Linked DNA regions of Lepisosteus oculatus. The protein of the gene in region 3 purifies or fractionates together with the protein of the main gene of each other region. This does not show direct contact. Links are inferred from orthologs where the notes say so. Each region holds a gene or a part of one and is shown on either strand. Other genes may lie near its edges. The genes, in order: fbxw7, hspbp1 and hsf1.

Region 1 (5,361 bases), on a different chromosome or scaffold from region 3:
CAATTCAAAGATAAAAGAAAGACCTGTGAGCTCTCCTGTCCTGTGAAAAGCTGCCCTCGTGTTTTTTAGCTTCAGCATCTAGATCTGTCCTTTTACCATGAAACTATTTTAAACAGGCTCCTTGCTGAATGAGAGTACATTGCTATTTATAGACCGCTGGCAAAGTGCCACAACTTGAACCACGATCTTATTTTTCAGCTACTGTGCCTGCTGATGCTCATTTTCTCTGTATTTCCAGTCATTATGTTCGGTGCTTTAAGTCTTTTTATCACTTTATTTGTTTTTGTGACCTTGATGTCGGTATAAATATATGGAAATGGGCATGAGATCGCAGTTTGGAAGAAATGACTTTCTCTGGAGTGTCAAGTTAGACCTCTGATAAGGTGAGCCCCGTGCCTTTCAAGGCTGCTGAGGTGAATTAGCAGGATGCGGAGCAGGAGGAGCAGCTCGGAGCACTTTAGTGGTTAAAGTAATCTGCTTCTGCTTAAGATCTGCGGGTAGCTTGGCTCTTGTTCACTCCGTTTCCTTTTTCTTTGGGTTGTGAGGTTATGCGCTTGTTATTACTGTAAGTAGCAGACATTGTTACTTTGGCTACAAATTGAGCTGCATAATCCTTTTTCTGTTAAAAGGAACATGTGATGCTATGCAGGCAGTTCGGTATTGGGGGTAGCATTTGCTGTCTTGTCACCTGCAAGCTGAGTCGCTTGGCCAGAGTGGCGGGCAATAATGACAAACCGCGGCAGAGAGGAGCCTTGATTTAACTCTTTGTTTGCTGCTTGCTTTTAGCCATCTGATGCTTGCCACTTCGAAGCCCAGGAGGGAGTCAAGTGGCTTGGTTTCCTCGCATGTCATTATGGCTGCTGGGTGATTGACGGGTCCCTGGGAGCGTTAGTGTCATGAAAAGGGCAGCAGGCTTGATTGGCGAGCCGGAGGATTTATCCGGGGCTCCTTATTGCTTTTCAGCATCAGAAGAATGTAGTAGCAGCAGACACAGCAGCAGCTAGGAAGGAGAGGAAACGGCAGCAGCATCAGTAGCTCCTCTGGCTGGGCTTAGAGGGATCTGTAGCCTGGAGGAGGAGTAGAAGGAGAAGGGGTGTGGCTGGGTGCTGGGAAAGGAAGAAGGGAAGTCGGAGTGTGTGGGGAGGGGGGGGTGTGGGGGAAGAAACAGGTTGAATGGATGGAGTACAGTAGCAGCTGAGTGAAGATTGCCAGGAGTAAGGTGAGGTGTGCTGGGCCTCACAGGGAACCCACAGAGCGGTACCTGCCTATGGGGGAAAAACAAAACCTGCCTCTCACCTTGGATCTCAGAACTTCCAAGTTTCACCCAGGGGATAATTCTGCTGCTCGGCAAGGAGAGGTTCTCACTGGGAAGCATCAGGTGTTTTGCTTGCTGTGTGGCATGCTGGCTGGGGGCCAGACGACTGTAGCAGGGGATGTGAGCCGTTCCCAGAAGTGGGGCAGCTGAGGCAGAGAAGCGAGCTTTGGAACTGGGCATCGGCAGCTTAAAGGAGAAAGAAAAGAAATTAGGAAAAGAACTAAAAATAGAAGCAGGAGCCTCGGCAGCGAGCATCCCTTTGACTATTTTCCTTGGAGCAGCACAGCCCCTGATGAGCAAGTCAATGTGCGGCTGTGGCTGCAGCATTATCTCGTCCTTGATGAAGAGGCTGGGCCGCTCCACGTGCTGCTCTGACCTGCTCTCCTGCAGCCACACCTCAGAGCACCTGCAGCGGCTGGCCACCGGATGTCCCAAACAGCCCAAGGTAAAGCCGCAGCAAGCCAGCGTCCGCCACTGTTGCTAAGGGCTCTCATCGCGCGAGTCCCGCTAAAAAAAACAACAACTTTGGGGTTGTGCTGTTTTCGGACACGAGTTTGTTCATTTCGCCATTGTGCTGCGAATATTAAAATAAGGTCGCAATCGGGGAGGACGTATACATGATCGGTTAATGCCTGACCTTGCAGTAACTATCCAATATCATTTTGCCATCATCAGGCAGCGTAGCAATGGAAATGCACTGCAGTAATTGATTTTGTAATGGGATCAGGTGATTTACTGGCTGTCCTGGCAACTGTAGGTTTGCTTTGAACCGGTGAGCGCTCTTAATGGATGCTTTGAGATTTCTAGTGGTCTGCCGCCTCTCTGCTGCTACTCATTGAGAGAAAGGAGTGAGTCTTTTGTCAGAGGGAGAGACGAAATGAAACAAGCTGTCCATTTGTAGCGGGGTTGTTTGATAATTGTCTGCTGCTTTTTGGGTCACCAGCCTGAAAAGGGGCAATTATCAACCAGCCATGATGTCTAGGAAACTGCTCTTCTTGTTAGTGTTGGGGTTTGCATACTCAGCTCCTTGTGCTTCATGAATGATACATTTATGTCTGTGTGCATATGTATGTTGATCTTTCTGAATTGTTATTGTAAATATTCAGAGATTTGACTTTGCCATTCATGATTCAGTGAAAGCTCCAAACAGACTTACCAGAGCAATATGGGAGTGAACATGAAACATATAAGCTAATTAGTATTTAGAGCTGTTAAACGTCTTTCTGTTTACTTTAAAAATAGATTTTCAGGTTTTATAGTCTCTGTTTAGGGCTTCTAAATGTTTTATCATATGGAATATTGACTTTTTGCCCCCTTCCTGGGTGTGGCCAGGATTTGTGTTCTAGAATGAGTGCAAAATTGAATTTCTGAATTTCTTAGTTCATAAGAACTGTGTTTTAACTTGTACGTTTTCCTTTAGCTGTCTGAATTCAGAAGAGATGAATTCATTTTTTTTTTTCAAGCTTAAAAATGTGAATTGTGTTAATCTTGAAAATTTGGCACATGGGTCTTTGGCAGTGAATCAATCCTCTCACCCTACCATCTGAAAAATCGCACCAAAAGAAATCAACTTATGTTTTTTTTAGAAACATAAAGCATATGGGTGTTTGATATTTCCGAAATGTTTTGGTGTTACTTTGATTGTTCACAATTGACTGTGACATAGTTTTTGCTTATTCCTTAGCGTCTGAGGTGTTTGCTATCGGGCATTTATAACCTGGCAAAACACCACAGAGAAGCACAGTCTGTCAACAGTAAGCCGTGATCTTCGAGGCCACTAAACACAATCTGGATCAGGGGGTCCAGCTGTCATGGTCTGAGGAGGACTGTTCACTACAGAGCTCCACTTGTAGTGATTGTTGGCAGTGTGTATGCACGGTGCTGTGGTGATCAAGTTCCTTACTTGCTGCCCTGCTTGTGGGCTCACCCTGACATGACAAGATTGTAACCAGGTGAAGCACCTTCTCATGCTACTAGTGTGCAAATAAGAACGAGACAGTGATGGCATGGATGCCCTACCTGATAGACTTGAGTCCCATTGAATGTTTGTTCAGATGAATTGGGATAGTGAGTGGTAACTAGGGCTCAGAAACAAGAGAAGGGACACGTGCTTGTCCAGGTGGTATAAGAGAAATGGGACACAATCACAGAAGACAGCATCTGCAACCTGCTGCATCATGGATACCCTACTCACCATACAGTAGCCCCACTGAACGTTTGTGGGGTGACCTGGCATCTAGGGTTCAGAGAACAGTGAACAAGCGATCAGTGAACTTGTCGAATCTCAACACAATTCCACAAAACAGCATCTGCAACCTGGCTCTAAAAATGTTGCAGTTTTGTACTGCTTCGTGTGGTGTCCACACGCTATTTGCATGTGACTGTAACTCCTCTGTTGATCAAGCCTGTTGAGGACAAACGTAAACTGAATTTCCAGTACTCATGTCATGTCTGTTCAGTCATGTATCATTGCCTCAAGTCATTCTCCTGATGATGTTCTAGCTCAGCATACATTATTTCACAAAGGTAAAGACTATACATCCAATGGGCAATGTAAACTACACTCTTTTTTATTCTTTATCATCCTTATTCTTAAACATGAAGCCAAAAGAGCTCAAATAAAAAGTGGATTTTGTCTGATTTTTATTAATTTTGATGTCATAAAATCTCCTAAAGATGAATGACCAATGTTTGAAAATGATTGATACCCAATGATTCAAAGACGCAAACTCTAATTAGAAAGTGTAGACTAAATTGTTTTTGCCCCTTTAGAAAATCAGGTTTAGTGTTAACTTACATTTTATGGGACAAAAGCTCTTCATCCAGAGGGAATGAAGAAAAAAAAAGTTAAATAATGAAAGGCTTTTTCACAGAACCCGTCATGTTTACTCATCTAAGTATTAAAACTCTGCATCAGATTGCATCACTTTGTGATACATATTAAATATATTATTTGAAAGTTAGTCTGTCCATTCTCATTGGCATTGTGGTGTCACTCCAGCCAATCAACTCCGCGTCTGTCAGTGCACTTAGGGAGGAATCTCACCTGACTGCTGGAATAAGCAAAGAAAGCAGAAGGGAGATTACACAGCGGATTTGTGAAAGAAACTGAAGGTATTAACAAATTACATTTTAAACTGCTAACTTGTTTCTCTGATTCTGTAGTCTTGGATGTTAGTTTTGTTTTTGTTGATGAAAAATATTTGACATCACCTCTCCACAGTGCATACTGTACTGTACAAATGTATCCCATTTGAACCCGAAGCCCTCTACTTCCCCAGGCTGGACAGTTGGTCCGATTCACCACCGCCGTTGGTGAACACAGCTCAGTGCTACCAATGGTAGTGGAATAAGTGTAAGGATGTTATCATTTAATTAAAAATGTTACTGTTAGCAGCTCTTGCATTGGTTCCAATGCTCGTTGGTTGTGTTATTAATGCTTTTCTTTGTATTTAGTTTCATACGGTATGATAGTGCTGTGCACAATGCACAAATCATATTGTATTGGAGAAATTACTTTTGCGTCACTATTGCAAGTGAGATTGCGCATTTAGAATAGTGATTACAGTGTGCTGGTGTGACGGGTGTAGCTGTGCCCCTGCGCTCTGCATCACCAGAACACTGCGTCTTGTTTTCTGTTGGCGGCGTCATATTCTGTGACAGGTTCGTAGTCGCCAAACCCTGCTATGTGAGGGGGAAAAAAAAACAAGAATAAGTTTTAAACATATTACAGTACTTTGTCAAAGTAGACAAAATAAGTAGGAAATCAAATTCCACTCTAGAAATTATTTTTAAAAAGTTAAAAACTACTAACCCACATTTTTGCTAATTTATCTAGACCCTTCTAAAAATATATTTTCTTCATTAAAATGATCACTCTGTAAGAGAACTAAAAACGGATACATATCTGCGCATGTTTATTCAGGAAGATAAAAAGTCTCCTGTAGCCGCCGCTTTTTGAGCCTCTAGCAATGCTGCACAGTTCAGTGCAAATGTTTGTGTGGATTCTTTCAATCCGGTATGTTTCTGTGAGGCTGCCACCTTGC
Region 2 (5,361 bases), on a different chromosome or scaffold from region 3:
GACACACACACCTGTACAGACTCTTACTGGAGACACTGTATAGACACACACCTGTACAGACTCTTACTGGAGACACTGTACAGACACACAGCTGTACAGACTCTTACTGGAGACACAGTACAGACACACAGCTGTACAGACTCTTACTGGAGACACTGTATAGACACACACACACCTGTACAGACTCTTACTGGAGACACTGTATAGACACACACCTGTACAGACTCTTACTGGAGACACTGTATAGACACACACACCTGTACAGACTCGACATTGTATAGACACACTTTAGCCAGTGTTTATCAATCCTGAGTCTGGGCCCTTAATCACTGTTGCTAATTAGTTTCTATAACCAATTTCATTGTTTTGACTTTTTTCTGCACCCAGACTTTGGTTTCAAATGTACCCAGCTTAAGGGACTGTGTATCATTTACATTTATTACAGACTGGACAGCCCAGAGCTCAGGTCTCAGAGCTGTATCTTACACTCAAACACGGAGTTTCTCCTCAAGTGCAACTGGTCAGATTTCAGCACAGATGCAGCACGTAAACACACACAGATATACCAACTCTGATCTCATAGACCTTCACACACAAAATTACACAGACACAGCATGATCACGCACATACAGACACACTCGGACCTCTCAGACCCTCAGACACAAAATTACACACACAGACACACTCTGAACTCTCTGACCCACACACACAAAATTACACACACAGACACACTCTGAACTCTCTGACCCACACACACAAAATTACACACACAGACACACTCTGAACTCTCAGACCCTCAGACACAAAATTACACACACACACTCTGAACTCTCAGACCCTCAGACACAAAATTACACACACACACTCTGAACTCTCTGACCCACACACACAAAATTTCACACACAGACACACTCTGAACTCTCTGACCCACACACACAAAATTTCACACACAGACACACTCTGAACTCTCTGACCCACACACACAAAATTACACACACAGACACACTCTGAACTCTCTGACCCACACACACAGCATAATCACACACATGCACAAACTCACATGCACACACGTACAGACACGCTCTGAACTCTCAGACCCTCACACACAAAATTACACACACAGACACATGCACATACTCACACATACAGACGCACTCTGATCTCATAGACGCTCACACACACACACTTACACACAGCTCCAAACCCCAGGATATATTAAGATGTTGCACAAACCACGGTGATCTATTTAAGAGCTGTAAAAAAAAATCACGAATCGGCTCCAATCGGACACTTAAAAGTCGGGTTTTCTGCAGCTCCTACCGCGGCCCTTCTAATCGGAGGAAGCGGTATTTGCCGGGGAGGGGATAAATGCGCGGTCGCCTCTATTCGTGCCTTTACGGTAGCGGCGCTTTCCAATATGGCCGCGCCCGTGGAGTCCCCACGCCATGTCGGCGGGCCCGTCCCCTCCAGAAGCTTCTACCGCTCTCCGCCCGTATAAACACGCCGCGAGAGGGGAGGCCTGTGCTGGAAACCCCGTCGTGCCCTGATCTCGGGAATATCCGCCCCCACGGCGTCGGGCCTCGCTGTTGGTAGTGGTGTCGCCAGAGGGGGGTCGTCCGGACGCGAAAACAGCCGGGCGTCGGCTGCACCGAGGAGGGACCTCGTGACGGGACCGGCCTGGACTGCGGTGCCGAGGGTCCAGGTGAGCGAGCATCTTGTGTTTGTTTTTTAAAATATATAGTGAGAGTCACTAAATCTCTCAGTAACACACACAGCAGGACAGGAGACACAGTGAGAGAGAGGAGATCACGGAGAGTCCCTCAGTGATAAACACACACAACAGGACAGGAGACACAGTGAGAGAGAGGAGATCACGGAGAGTCCCTCAGTGATAAACACACACAACAGGACAGGAGACACAGTGAGAGAGAGGAGATCACAGGGAGCCCCTCAGTCATAAACACACACAGCAGGACAGGAGACACAGTGAGAGAGAGGAGATCACAGAGAATCCCTCAGTAATAAACACACACAACAGGACAGGAGACACAGTGAGAGAGAGGAGATCACAGAGAGTCCCTCAGTGATAAACACACACAGCAGGACAGGAGACACAGTGAGAGAGAGGAGATAATAGTGGGAAAGGCACAGCCATGACTCCCCCCGGGGCTGTGCCGCGGTGGGGCAGATCGTCTCCGGTCCCGGTCCCGGACGGTGTGTGTTTTCTGTGGCTGTGGGAACTCTGGAGGGAGGGGAGGGGAGGGGGTGGGAGCGGGTTCAAGTCTCGGCCGGGGTGAAGCCCGGTCCAGCGGGGCCTCTGACCCACGATCACGCCGCCGGCCCGGCCCAGCGGGGCCTCTGACCCACGATCGCGCCGCCCGGCCCGATCCAGCGGGGCCTCTGACCCACGATCGCGCCACCCGGTCGAGAGCGGAGCCGCATTTCGAGCAGAACGCGGGGGCTGAGATCGGGGGACCCTCGGCTCAGGGAAGACCTCCCCTCCTCTTCGTTCGGTTCTGCGCCCCTGCTAGCGTGCCGGGGTACCCCGATACCACTGCCTCTTCTGCAGCTTGATGCAGTGTCGGGACGGGGGGAGGAGTCTCAGTACCGACCGAATGAAATCGGCCGAACCGATCTTAATATCACCCTGCAGCTCCCAGCTGACACAGCCCACTGGAGCCCAGCAGGGGGGAGCCTGGCCAGTACCTGGAGGGGAGACTCCTGGGAAAGCTGAGGCTGCTGCTGGGAGAGGTGTGAGTGGGGCCAGCAGGGGGCGCTCACCCTGCGGTCTGTGTGGGTCCTCATGCCCCAGTATAGTGACGGGGACACTAGACTGTAAACAGGCGCCGTCCTTCAGATGAGACGTCAAACCGAGGTCCTGACTCTCTGTGGTCATTAACAATCCCGGGGTGTCTCTCGACAAGAGTAGGGGTGTTACCCCAGTGTCCTGGCCAAATTCCCCCCCCTGGCCTTTACCCCTCATGGCCTCCTAATAACCCCCCTCTCTGAACTGGCTCCATCCCTCTGCTCTCCTCCCCACTGAGAGCTGGTGTGTGTGAGAGGACTGGAGCATCATCCAGGTGGGGCTGCACACTGGTGGGGGTAGTGGGATTCCCCCTGACCTGGGAAGAGCTCTGGGTGGAGGGTCCAGACAGGGGCTGTACAAGTGTGAGGGATTATTATTATTAATGACTCTTTCTGCCTCTAAAAAAATCTCAAACTTCTGATGCCTCAGAGGTGATGTGCGTCTCTGTGCCTTGTGGCTCCCTGTTCTTCATGTTTCATAAGTTGGTCTTATCGCGTTTCATGATCTCTCCAATTCAAATCGACATTCAAATCACCTGGGAATGACTGTCGTTCTACTGCCAAAACAAATACCAGCACGCTCTCTCAGTGCAGTGTTAATGTACTGGAGTGTCCAGTCAGTGTGTCTGTATTAACCCCTCTCTCTCTCAGTGCAGTGTTAATGTACTGGAGTGTCCAGTCAGTGTGTCTGTATGAACCCCTCTCTCTCTCAGTGCAGCGTTAATGTACTGGAGTGTCCAGTCAGTGTGTGTGTATGAACCCCTCTCTCTCTCAGTGCAGTGTTAATGTACTGGAGTGTCCAGTCAGTGTGTCTGTATGAACCCCTCTCTCTCTCAGTGCAGTGTTAATGTACTGGAGTGTCCAGTCAGTGTGTCTGTATGAACCCCTCTCTCTCTCAGTGCAGTGTTAATGTACTGGAGTGTCCAGTCAGTGTGTCTGTATTAACCCCTCTCTCTCTCAGTGCAGTGTTAATGTACTGGAGTGTCCAGTCAGTGTGTCTGTATTAACCCCTCTCTCTCTCAGTGCAGTGTTAATGTACTGGAGTGTCCAGTCAGTGTGTCTGTATGAACCCCTCTCTCTCTCAGTGCAGTGTTAATGTACTGGAGTGTCCAGTCTGTGTGTCTGTATTAACCCCTCTCTCTCTCTCTCTCTCATTAGGCAGTATGGCCGAGGGCAGAGGCAACAGGCCCAACCCACAGAACCTTCAAGGCCTCCTGCGGTTGGCTGTGGAGGCTGGCTCCGCCTCCGATGAGCCCGCCCCCACGGAGCCCATGTCCGAGGAGGTAACTGCCCAAGGGGCGCCGAGCTCGAGTCCGCCCGCCCGCCCGCGCCGGTCAGTCTGTGACCGCGGCGCCCTCGAGGCCGGAGCTGCGGACAAGCGTCGGAGTTTTCCTCTGCAGTGTGTCTGCGTGACTCTTCCCCGTGGGCATGGAGACAGACAGGCCTGATTATGTCCATGTAATAAATATAATAGGGATATATAATAAGAAATACATAGATATTATATATATGTATGATAATAAATTACATAGGAATAAGTATATATATTAACAGGCTCGATTATATTGATCCCTCATGTAATATATATAATAGGAATATATCATTGTTATATAATAAATGCAGAAATATATCAGACCATATTATATATAACCGTATTCAAGAAAGTATAATATGGGTATATAATAATTATTTACTAATAAGTATATGCTTTATATATAGTAGGCCCTATTATATTTAAATCCAAAGTATATTTACATCTAGAACATGTATTATATATTAGTTATGTCGTATTTTATGTATGTTATTTCTTCTATATATCCCTATAATGTTTCTCTCTAGTATATGATTATTATTCCTGTTGTTATTATTTATATCCTCCAAAATGCAGAAGTGTCTGGGGTGTGTTACTGTGATGAGTCTGTATCTGGGCGTCTCGGTTTGTGCCAGTCCAGCCCCTGCAGCTCCCAGCTCACACACCCCACTGGAGCCCAGCAGGCGGGACCCTGGCCAGTACCTGGAGGGGAGACTCCTGGGAAAGCTGAGGCTGCTGCTGGGAGAGGTGTGAGTGGGGCCAGGAGGGGGCGCTCACCCTGCGGTCTGTGTGGGTCCTCATGCCCCAGTATAGTGACGGGGACACTAGACTGTAAACAGGCGCCGTCCTTCGGATGAGACGTCAAACCGAGGTCCTGACTCTCTGTGGTCATTAACAATCCCGGGGTGTCTCTCGACAAGAGTAGGGGTGTTACCCCAGTGTCCTGGCCAAATTCCCCCTCTGGCCTTTACCCCTCATGGCCTCCTAATAACCCCCCTCTCTGAACTGGCTCCATCCCTCTGCTCTCCTCCCACTGAGAGCTGGTGTGTGTGAGAGGACTGGAGCATCATCCAGGTGGGGCTGCACACTGGTGGGGGTAGTGGGGTTCCCCCTGACCTGGGAAGAGCTCTGGGTGGAGGGTCCAGACAGGGGCTGTAGAGGTGTGAGGGGTTATTGACATCCTCATGTACGTCACTTAGCAGAGCTGTCTGACTGAATGAGATCGGGGAGAAAGTGATGGTTCA
Region 3 (5,361 bases):
GTCACTCACTTGGCTTGGAACCAGTGATAGGAATTTGTTTCTCCACTAGGCAGACAAAGCCCCCGAGCGTCTCAATATTAATGATTTTCTTTCAGGGGAGTGATGCCACACAGCCCCACCTACAATAACAGAGGTCCCAATCTCATTTGTTTGTGCTGGCATCATGTTACTTTGTGATATTTGTCAGACTGAAGCCTCTTGCAGCTCTGACACCCCCTTTCTTTTGGTCCAGTTGCGTTTATGGACAAAATAAACCTTTAACCTGTTGTAAGCCTGTCAGCACAAAAGATGTCCCTCAACAATTTTATTTGAAGAACATAGACATATTTCTGCAGTCTTTAGTCCCATACTCTTCAGATATCCCAAAAGTATCTGTCAATCGGTTAACATAAATGCTGTAATATCCATTAACCAAAAAAACACTACAGTCTTTCAACACTGAGATAAGATGATCCCTGTCACAAACCTTACCGTCACTTTGCTCCAGTTTGAACAAATTAAAAACACCAGTGGAACACCATTGTCTGTGAGCCTCACGGACTCAAACGGGTACACAGCTGTTTCTTGCCTTCACAAAACCCAGCAGAAATAAATAAAAAATTGCAGGACCTCCGCATTTCTTTGCGATGTCCCCACATGCAGAGTTTCATCTGCGTTTTTGCCATTCACACTTCAGTGTTAAGTGGCTCAGCAATTTATGTCACGATGAAGTCTTTGTGAAGAGCTTTGTGACAAAGTGTTGTGAAGGGCGCTAGACTTAGCAATTAAAAGACGGGTTAAGTGAAGAGCTTCCCTCTGGAAGATGGTTATTTGAAACTGTAAAACCTTGCTTCTCTTAAACAGATCAAGGGATATTCTCTGTACCAGATTGCCACAATAAGCTCTACATGTTAGGACTGAATAGTCCTGTTCTTCAACTGTAAGCCTACACAACCTGAGCTGATTTCCTTCCACTTCTCAGATGATAAGAAAACTTTAGATATTTCGGACTTTTTTGTAGTTGCCTAATCTGCTCTGAGCACTGGGTGCTAGACACCATTTTATCACTTCCATTTTAAGCTTCTTTCACATTTAGGTCCATGTTAACTCCATACATCTCCTACCTAATTTTGGCCTCACACATTATATCTATTTGCCTTAACAAATGCTTGGAGTTCACCAGTAACTGAACAAAACAAAAGAGGAATTAGGGGAAACAGCTAATGAAAAAAGTAAATATTGAATGAAATTTAATGAATTATATAAATCAATACATTATGCATAATCACATAATTATATAACTTAAATTGAATTATTGATTGTTGTCTTTCTGTCCTACATCTTGATGTAGGACCTGGTAATTCATGCAGTCTGCGTGGCATGAATATGTCTTTGTGGCACACCATGTTAAAAAAAACAGGTTATTTTAAATATTTATGATATATAAAACACACAGGACTGTCAAATATTTGCTGTGATGCTTTAAGCAGAAAAAAATGAATGGATGACTAATTTAATTTTGAACTCTTCAAGTGTTTTCTTTTACATTTTCATATATGGTAGCCATCTTGCGAGGGGAAAAGTTGGTCAAAACTAAGGCCATGACAACATACGCGCTGCAGTACCGGCGGGTTTTGGTAGGGGGAGTAGTCGAAACAAAGCAAGACAATAATGGCCAGAGTAGAGGGGAGAAGACCACAAAGCATAGTGAAGGAAGAGGTAGAGACGATTACGAGCTACAACTTCCCGGATCTTATTTCTCTTCATTTATCAAATCTATGCTTAGGACTTCACATAAATGCTTTATGCAAAATGTTTAACCTAAGCAAGACAATAATATCATCTTTCATTTGAGGTGAAGCCTATTATGATATGTACTTCCTGGACAAATTCGCAAGCACGTTCAAAACTCAAAATAGAGTTAACACACCTTTCTTTCAATTGTAGAGTCACAGAAGGCAGACTTTAAACACCAACATTTCCAAGGACTTATTGTCCAAACGTGCACTCCTTTAAAGCGATACGTGAGGAATACAACGCCATCTTAAATTCACTCGCTCTGCCCAAATGGTTAATTGACACCAGGGGACTTTTAAACTACTTTTAAATTTGCATGCTCTCCCAAAAGTAGTCCATAATAGGTTGTGACGCAAAGCAGTAAAAATGAGTGATGACATTTTTCTTGACCTGTGTTAAAGAGCAAGGGGGCCCAATTAAAGTCACCGAAAATAATCCTTTATGTGCATATGGGAACTTTTAGCCGTGCGGCGGTTTCACCCGCACGGCCTCCATCCTGCACGAACTCTGAACAGCAATGAGTTCGCACTCATACTTCAAACCAACCGAAACGCACTTGGACAGACCCCCTCCTCCCCTCCTCAGTATTTACTGCCGATAAAGTTTCCGAGCTCCAAAGATGTTAAACGGTCTGGTTCACGGTGCGAGTAAACCGTAAGGAATCGGTCGCGTTTTAATTCAAAAGGTCGTGCGGAACCGAAATTTGCAGGGGCTCTTCCCAATGAGCGCAAGCAGCTCATCTGGGGGGGTTTAGACTACGGGCCAGGCCTCCATTAGGCCCCACAAAAATAGCATTAACGTTGCGTTTGTCTACTTAAACCAATCCCAATCCCAATTTCCCGCAGACCAAAACCAATCATTTCGTTTCGATTCCCACTAATCGATTGTCCTTTCGGATTCGCGGAGTCGGTCACCAGTACTTCGATTTCAGGTTAGAGATAGCGGCCACACCCCCTTTTCCCAATGAAATGGCCTCTCCCTCAACTGGCAACAAGTGTCGTCTGCCTGCTTTTCACAACTACAAGGGGGGGGGGTTAAACTCGCACCCGCTTCCACGAAACTCAAGAAAACAAATCCGAAAAGGCGAGATAAGAGTGATTTTCACAGATCTCTTAGGATAACACAAACCATTCCGGCAGCTGCCATTAAACTGCAACAGATATAAGCTTATTCAAGTAAATGATCACCCTGTGGTGAATGATCAGCAGCCTTCGCCTCTGACTGGCAAAATGACATTTATAATGAAAAGAGACACACTTTTTATAACAACCTGCTAAAAATAAGACGAACGTGTGTAGGTGGGGGTCAAACCGAAACACAAACTGAAAATAAAATGCACTGAAGGATCGCAAAACAAATAAAAGTAAGCAACATCCCAGCTTGTTTACTGTCACTGAACCATGTTCACACAACTGAATCTGGTCTCTCGTCGCCCAGATCCGCCTTCAGTGCTCCCACTTACCGGACTCCAGCAGATGAGCGAATCGGTATCGGGGTCTTCCACCAAAGTCCAAAGTTTCGTGAGGAAAGCAGGGACATTACTTCCACTGACCAAACTTCCACCAGAGCCACCCCCATGAAATTCCATATCCATAAAAGCAGAAAAACAACAATAAAGAAGAAGGGAGGAAAGCAACACAAAGTAAAGCAGAATCTAAACAAAACAACAAACAGATCCGATATGCAGACCACAGAAGTTCAAAACTAGACAGCAGCCTTGAAGGGTCGCAACGTTAATCCCACGTTGTATTATTCCTCTTCTCGACCTTCAGTAAATTAAATGACACTTATCACTGGCCTGCCTTTAGCCGATCGAAAATCAAGACATTGATTTTTTCACCAAAAAGGGATTTTTACGAACTGCGTAGAAACGAAACATTCCACACTAGCATGGTAGTCGCCATTTTGTGACATCACCAAAAACCCCAAAATACACATTTGGTTTCGGCAGCAATAAAATTAAATATATTGTATATTGAATTTCGTAGAAGTATTCACTATTGAAAAAACATAGTTTTTAGAAAAACATAATTTGAGTTGATTAAAAAATTAAATATCGTGAGCCTTTGACTTTTAACCCCAATTTGCAGAAAAATTGTTTATGTTACGTAGATATCTTTAAAGCAGGGCAGATTATTTATATTTTTTTGGTTAATATTTTTTTCATTTCAAGTAGTAATAAACGACGATTTTTTTATTTCAACTCTGAACTATAAACCTTGACCCCTGCGTCCCACATGGTCAGTCTCCACAGCATGTCTGCAGCCTTCAGTGAAATTGTGCAAAACGGCAGCATGAGTAGAAAAGCTAAAGAAAAAAGTTTCAAAAGAACAGCGGAAGAAGATGAGGAACAGGTAAAATAATAAACATTATTTTTTTTTATTTGTTCAAAATACTTTCTAGTAGTATGAACTAGTTTCAGGACCGTTTAATGCCAAGATGTTTCTCAGTTTATAGAGCACTATAAACAAATATTTAAACTTCGAAAAACAGTGTTTACTTCTGCGTGTCTTTTCTGAAAATATTTTATTACAATGTATATTTCTAATTTGAGGTATTCATTTATAAACGGAACGCATAGTTAATTCCTACAATTTGCCTTAAGGAATGAGTCTTAAAACGTTGGAGTATCATTTTAAGAGATGGTTTTTTCACTACCTTAGATAGTCTCATACATTGATTATTAAAGGGAATAACAAAAAGTACATATTTTGACTAAATGTTTACTGACTGCCTTATGTTCTCTTAATATGTTAGTGTAAGGTTCGTAACCACTTGTTTATCTGACAGAAACAGTGGCCACTTTCGTCTGTAAACGAAAGATTTATGAAGAAAATAATATAATCATTTCTGGTTTCATATCCAGGTGTTTTTTTTTAATTTACTTGTGATTTCGGCATCATAAGGACCTTAATAGGGTTGTATAATTCATAGGTTCAAAGCCTTAGTTAAGTGACAAATGTTGTAGTTGCCTCTCAATGTACATGTGCTGGACAAATGTTGTATGTATTCAGTAAAGCATTAGGATTTGCTGGCACAGTGGTTAGCAATGCTGCCATGCAGCGCTAGGGCCCTGGGGTAAATTCCTGGGGGTACTGATCTGTGTGGGGTTTGTATGTTCTCCCCCTGTTCGTATGGATGTCCTACAGGTGCTCCGGTTTGCTCCCACAGTCCAGTGACATAATAATAATAATAATAATAATAATAATAATAATTGCTTACACTTATATAGCGCTTTTTCTGGACACTCCACTCAAAGCACTTTTACAGGTAATGGGGATCCCCTCCACCACCACCACCACCAATGTGCAGCATCCACCTGGATGATGCGACGGCAGCCATAGTGCGCCAGAATGCTCACCACACACCAGCTATCAGTGGGGAGGAGAGCAGAGTAATGAAGCCAATTCATAGAGGGGGATTATTAGGAGGCCATGATTGATAAAGGGCGATGGGAATTTTGGCCAGGACGCCGGGGTTACACCCCTACTCTTTTCGAGGAACGCCCTGGGATTTTTAATGACCACAGAGAGTCAGGACCTCTGTTTTACGTCTCATCCAAAGGACAGCGCCTGTTTACAGTAT

The links.
Region 1: the proteins of hsf1 (region 3) and fbxw7 purify together in Homo sapiens (affinity purification with western blotting; 4 studies listed by BioGRID, with this or other methods). This does not show direct contact. The link is inferred for Lepisosteus oculatus from reciprocal best matches to the Homo sapiens genes HSF1 and FBXW7.
Region 2: the proteins of hsf1 (region 3) and hspbp1 purify together in Homo sapiens (affinity purification with mass spectrometry; 5 studies listed by BioGRID and IntAct, counting the BioPlex papers as one, with this or other methods). This does not show direct contact. The link is inferred for Lepisosteus oculatus from reciprocal best matches to the Homo sapiens genes HSF1 and HSPBP1.

What each region holds. Positions count from the first base shown.
Region 1 is NC_090696.1:25,229,982-25,235,342, forward strand, and holds the start of fbxw7 (F-box/WD repeat-containing protein 7), read left to right. Parts: upstream 1-1,592; 5' UTR 1,593-1,607; coding exon 1,608-1,760; intron 1,761-5,361. UniProt on the Homo sapiens protein: Substrate recognition component of a SCF (SKP1-CUL1-F-box protein) E3 ubiquitin-protein ligase complex which mediates the ubiquitination and subsequent proteasomal degradation of target proteins.
Region 2 is NC_090702.1:1,501,586-1,506,946, forward strand, and holds the start of hspbp1 (hsp70-binding protein 1), read left to right. Parts: upstream 1-1,387; 5' UTR 1,388-1,702; intron 1,703-3,963; 5' UTR 3,964-3,968; coding exon 3,969-4,088; intron 4,089-5,361. UniProt on the Homo sapiens protein: Inhibits HSPA1A chaperone activity by changing the conformation of the ATP-binding domain of HSPA1A and interfering with ATP binding. Interferes with ubiquitination mediated by STUB1 and inhibits chaperone-assisted degradation of immature CFTR.
Region 3 is NC_090705.1:33,077,189-33,082,549, forward strand, and holds the start of hsf1 (heat shock factor protein 1), read right to left. Parts: upstream 3,691-5,361; 5' UTR 3,371-3,690; coding exon 3,239-3,370; intron 1-3,238. Other genes in the region: ribosome biogenesis protein bop1, read left to right, coding at 4,014-4,130. UniProt on the Homo sapiens protein: Functions as a stress-inducible and DNA-binding transcription factor that plays a central role in the transcriptional activation of the heat shock response (HSR), leading to the expression of a large class of molecular chaperones, heat shock proteins (HSPs), that protect cells from cellular insult damage.